Cricetulus griseus: one gene and its partner. The protein of the gene in region 1 purifies or fractionates together with the protein of each later gene. This does not show direct contact. Links are inferred from orthologs where the notes say so. Each region holds a gene or a part of one and is shown in the gene's direction. Other genes may lie near its edges.

Region 1 (3,521 bases):
AAATGAACTAGTAACCCATAAAAAGAAAGAGATGAACAGTCTCAGAGGCTATGGGAAGGACTTTGCTGGTAAAACCATCCCACTACTAGACAGGAGGAACCCTTTCTGACAACCTGTGGAACAGATGACAAGCCTTATTTGTCTATCACTTGCCATAATCATCCATTCCCCTGTGGCTTTTGGAATGTCTGATGGTTACTTTGAGGACTGTGATACTGGGACCCCCCTTTACAGGAACAGCCCCTTTTGTGGCAGAAGGAACCTGGGTGTGGCTGTAGTGGCTCTCACCTGAGTAGAGTGACCACTGTGTCACTAGTTATACTCATTGGGCAGTGAAGTCAGTAAGAGGATCATCCCTAAGTTCAGATGGTTTATAGAATTTTTTTCAATGACTATACTGTACTTATTTATTTGGAGGAGGGAAACATGTGTCCCAGCACACATGTATTGGCCAGAGGACAGTGTGCAGGAAGTGGGAAGAGTCAGTTTTCTCCTTCCACTATGTGGGTCCTGGGAATCAAACTCAAGTTCTCAGGCTTGACTGAAAGTGCCCTTACCCACTGAGCCACCTCAAAAGCCCAGATCTGTGAACTTCTTGAATAGACTGCAAGCATGAACTGAGCTAGAGCTGAACTCCCCCATTCATATACAAGTCCTCCACAGTGCCCTCAGGATGAGGTTCTGGGCAAGCAGCTCATCCCTAACCCAGGATGACTTCTGGAAGGCAGGCAGATCGGGCTGAGGTTCACATACTGTCTGGGCCTCTAGGTTGAGGAATACCTTTACCCTCACACAACTGAAGTGCCCACTCTCCTTTTAGTAATCCCCTTAGAAAGAAATCTAAGCCATGGTGTTTTGGTTCAATAGGAAGGTATACAAACTGACCGACTCTCTCTACCCCAAATCTGAGTTCATTTTAGGCTGAAAGTCAAGAGAACTCCTCCAGAGCAACCCTTACACTGGTCCCTCTTGCCTTTTCTATCCTTCCTTTGTTTCTCCAGAATTGTTTTATATGTCTACTACCCTGGTGATGGTAGGCAAGTTTGGAATCACCTCTGCCTATTCCATGGTCTACGTGTACACGGCTGAGCTGTACCCCACTGTGGTGAGAAACATGGGTGTAGGGGTCAGCTCCACAGCATCCCGCCTTGGCAGTATCCTGTCTCCCTACTTTGTTTACCTTGGTGAGTACCACAGTGCACTGGTGGAATGGATGGGACAGAAGCTCTAAGTAGCCTCAATATGAGCTGGACACAAGCCCTATAGTTAGCAGGATGCATCCCTTACTGGGACCTTGGCTGGAGAAGAAGGCACCCATTTCAAATGGAAAGTAACTCACAGCCCAGCTGGATGAGGATGAGAAAGTGTGAGGCTTTCTATTTCATCACAAACTACAATTTCTTCATCCTAAGAAATTCTTTAGGGAGACAGTGTTCTTTACTAGAGGAGTTTCTTCTTGGAGTTAGTAGCATGAACAAGAGGTCTGACTGATGGACTGACAGTGACCATGGCGTAGAACACTTCATTTATCCAGTGTATATATAGAAGTCAGAGGACAATTTAGGGGAGTCTTAAAATTTGTTCTTTCTTTACAACATTGGATTCTGGGGATTGAACTCAGGCCACCAGGCATAGCAGCAAGCACTTTTACAAGCTGAGCCATCTCCATAGCCCCCATTTTACTTTTCAAGACAGTGGCTCACTAAGTATGAACTGGGATTGAACTTGTTCTGTAGCCCCAGAAGCCCTTGAACTTTAGCAGCCAGTGCCCTGAGAGTAGCAAGTACTTGAAAGCATGGTACGTGGCTCTAATGGGCTGCAGCACCTTGTCTAACCAGAATGCAAATCAAACTGGGACACAGCTGAAGAGATGGAGAGTTGCTTTGTCCTGGACAAGGACCTTGTTTTCTTGGGAACCCTGCAGCTTGGTGTCTCTACTCCCCTATACATTTCCCTTATCCATTGTGGACACTGCTGGACCTCTGGGCACATCTGTGCCAGGTCTAGGTTCTGAGACCCTTTAGATGCCAGACTTCACTCTAGCTGCCCAGGCTTTGGGAAACACTGAGACCAACAGGAAGGTGAGTCCATTATAGAGTCCTGAAGAAATACAGGGCCAGAATGAAACCATATCTCACTGTAACCTGGGTCCTCTGTTTGACTGCAGGTGCCTATGACCGCTACCTGCCTTACATCCTCATGGGAAGTCTGACCATCCTGACAGCTATCCTTACCTTGTTCTTCCCAGAGAGCTTTGGTGTCCCTCTCCCAGACACCATTGACCAGATGCTAAGGATCAAAGGGTAAGACACCTTCCTCCTAACACTAGGGGTGCACTGAATCTGGGCCTGGCCAGGTCTTAGGGATCTGCACACTGTCTCACAAATAAGTGGACTACTTTAACCATGGTGCTATGAGGGCATTGGCCTGATCTGTGTAAATCAGTGACCATGTGCATGGCCATGAAAGCAGCAGCTCTAGTTTACTGCAAAGACTACAGCAAACTTCAGTATCTGCCATTTCCTTGTTTTTCTCCAGATCTGGCTTGTTTTGACACTGATAGGTATCTTTGTACAATTTGTAAGTAACATTGTTTTGCTTGTTTTAATAGAATAAAACAATGGCAAAGCCAAAACCAGACAAGGATGCTAAAGGATGGTGAAGAAAGCCCAACAGTCCTAAAAAGCACAGCCTTTTAACCCTCCAGGAGATGAAAAACAGACAACCTGCATGTTGTCAGAAACACTGTCAATGACCAGGGGCTTTTCTGTTCTGTTGACCTTGTGTTTAATGTGCTCGTGGATGGGTGCATCTGTCCTGGAGAGCCACCTTCCTCTAGGGACATCAAGACTAACCACAGACAGCTTGCACATCCATTCCAGTGGTGGCCTTGGCCCTTCCAAAAAAGTTTCTTAAACCAGTGGGACTTGGAAGACTATGTGAAACAACTGCTAGTCTTGCTTTGTTATTTTAGAAGACTGGTAAGGTTGCACAGATAGAACTGCAGGTCTGTTTTTCCCTCCTCTCCGTAACTGCAAACTCTCAGGAAATGGAATAGATGTCACTCAGTGGCAGTGTGCTTGGCTAGGATACACAGGGCCCTGAGTTCCATGCAAAGAACCAGAAAGAAACAAAACTTCTTCAGAGAAGAATAAATGATTCCATGGGGAGTTTGATTTCTCATCTTTTCTAAGTTACAAAAACCCTTGCTGTGATTGCTTTAACTCACAACAGAAGACCACAGGACCTAGGGAACCATAGAGGAAATGAAGGTGGAAGGAGATATGTAAAGTCAGCAGTGTGTGGATTGTGGCTGCTCAGTCCCACAGCAGGAGTGCTGTGTGTGTCTGGTCAGACTCCTGGGCTTGTCCCGACTGTGAGAAATCACTGTTGACGCCAAGGCTTGTCTTCCACTTCTGTGTCTTGAAGGGAATGTATGAGTGACAAAGTGTCCCTTCCTTCTCTCAGCACTGTCACAGGGGTTTGTTTTTTTTTGTCATCTGTTGTATCTTCAGCAGAGA
Region 2 (2,142 bases), on another chromosome or scaffold:
AACTTCCCCCAGGTGAATAGGGAAAGGCATGTCTGCAGAGCAGGGGAGGCAGCAGTGTAGAGGGTGGGCCACCAGGCCAAGCCTGGGAAGGTGTGAAGAGAAGAGGCATTGCAGCCTGCAGTCTGAACGTATCATGTATTGACAGAAAGTTGCAGGTGAGCTCTATGGACCTCTCATGCTGGTCTTCACACTGGTCGCCATCCTCCTCCATGGGATGAAGACTTCTGATACCATTATCGTAAGCAGGACACAGGCCTTGCGGAAGGGCGGGTAGCTGATGTAGGCTGAAAACTGCCTGAGAATATGGTGGTGGAGTGAGACAGAGCAGCCCTTTCAGAAAGCGGTGGGTGAGGCTGAGATCAGAGGTGTCTTAGCCCTAAGCAGAGCCTTCACCCCACAGCGTGAGGGCACCCTGATGGGCACAGCCATTGGCACCTGCTTCGGATACTGGCTGGGTGTCTCGTCCTTCATTTATTTCCTTGCCTACCTGTGCAATGCCCAGATCACCATGCTGCAGATGCTGGCACTGCTGGTAAGGAGCCGAGCCCAGGAGTGGGCAGGGGTTAGCCTAAGATCAGTGAGGTGTGGTCTGAGACCCTCCAGGGATCTGTGGACTTGGGATGAGAGGAGCAGGCCAGAAGACCCCACCGAGGGCCAAAGGCCACTCCAGCCCAAGTGACGATCCTCTCATCTCTCTCCCCAGGGCTATGGTCTCTTTGGGCACTGTATTGTCCTGTTCATCACCTATAACATTCACCTTCATGCCCTCTTCTACCTCTTCTGGCTGCTGGTGGGTGGGCTGTCCACCCTGCGTATGGTAAGCTGAGCAGGTTTTGCTGTCCACCCCACAAAGGACTCTACACAGTTCTGCCCTGGGCATCTTCTCCATCCTTCACTTTGAAAACAGTGAACTGTTTTCTGAACTGTATACCTGTGGCTCTAGGTGGCAGTGTTGGTGTCAAGGACTGTAGGCCCCACCCAGCGGCTGCTCCTTTGTGGCACACTGGCTGCTCTGCACATGCTCTTTCTGCTCTATCTGCATTTTGCCTACCACAAGGTGGTAGAGGGTGAGTGGCAGGAGGGGCCTGTGTGGGGGAGTGGGCTGGATGAGCTGCCCTGGGGGCCTGCCTAACCAGTTCTCACTCATCCTCCATCTTTCTCCTTTAGGGATCTTGGACACCCTGGAGGGCCCCAACGTCCCACCCATGCAGAGGGTCCCTAGAGACATTCCTGCTGTGCTCCCTGCTGCCGGGCTCCCTGTCACTGTGGTCAATGCCACTGCAAAGGCAATAGCAGCGACCCTGCAGTCACACTGACCTCCCTGAAATCCTTGGCCATCCCTGACTGCCCAGCTCTGGAGGAAGACTAAAGGACAGTATACTGAGGACATGTGTCTCTTTGATGAGGTCTGCAGCAACCACTGAGCCTTTGCTGCCTAAACACCTGCTTGGCACCGGTCTTGGCTTCTGAAAGGCACAAGGCCAAGGAGTCCTGGCCAGGACTGCAAGCCTCTGCAGCCAGGTGCAGAATGTGGGTCAGCTCTTCTGAGGCCCTCACCACCTACCCCTTTTCTCTCCCTTCTCCTCTTATACTGCTAAATATAGACTTGGTAATTAAAATATTGATTGAAGTCTGGAACTACAGCTCCTGTTCCAGCCATTCTCCTGCCACCCTACTTCTGATACAAATTTCTGTTCTGTCAGCAGTGGTAATGTCATATGCCTGCTGTCCCTTCCTTCAGGCAGGCCCCAAGCGTGAGAGCCACAGTCCTCACATATGTATACCAGTCTGAAGTCTAGACTGACTGTACTTTTGAGAAGCCAATGCAGCAATGACAAATGAACAAAAATTTCCACTTACATCATTACAGGGACCTTGTGTACCTGGACCACATAGAGCTGGCATTTGAAGCCAAACATGGTTTTATTGAGGCTTTAGTTTTCTTTTTCTTTTCTTTCTTTCCTCCTCCTCCTCCTCTTCCTTTTTTTTTTTTTTTTTTTTTTTTTGAGACAGGGTTTCTATGTATTGTTTTGGAGGCTGTTCTGGAACTAGCTCTGTAGACCAGGCTGGCCTGGAACTCACATAGATCCGCCTGCCTCTGCCTGGCGAGTGCTGGGATTAAAGGCATGTGCCACCAATGCC

What was found. Proteins that work in one complex are often made in the same cells at the same time.
Region 2: the proteins of solute carrier family 22 member 5 (region 1) and Yipf3 purify together in Homo sapiens (co-immunoprecipitation; 3 studies listed by BioGRID and IntAct, counting the BioPlex papers as one, with this or other methods). This does not show direct contact. The link is inferred for Cricetulus griseus from reciprocal best matches to the Homo sapiens genes SLC22A5 and YIPF3.

The regions. Positions count from the first base shown.
Region 1 is NC_048600.1:68,012,650-68,016,170, reverse strand, and holds part of solute carrier family 22 member 5, read left to right. Parts: intron 1-1,001; coding exon 1,002-1,184; intron 1,185-2,167; coding exon 2,168-2,303; intron 2,304-2,611; coding exon 2,612-2,699; 3' UTR 2,700-3,521. UniProt on the Homo sapiens protein: Sodium-ion dependent, high affinity carnitine transporter. Involved in the active cellular uptake of carnitine. Transports one sodium ion with one molecule of carnitine.
Region 2 is NW_023276806.1:255,718,251-255,720,392, forward strand, and holds the end of Yipf3 (protein YIPF3), read left to right. Parts: coding exon 1-12; intron 13-145; coding exon 146-238; intron 239-400; coding exon 401-532; intron 533-703; coding exon 704-817; intron 818-943; coding exon 944-1,067; intron 1,068-1,167; coding exon 1,168-1,316; 3' UTR 1,317-1,638; downstream 1,639-2,142. UniProt on the Homo sapiens protein: Involved in the maintenance of the Golgi structure. May play a role in hematopoiesis.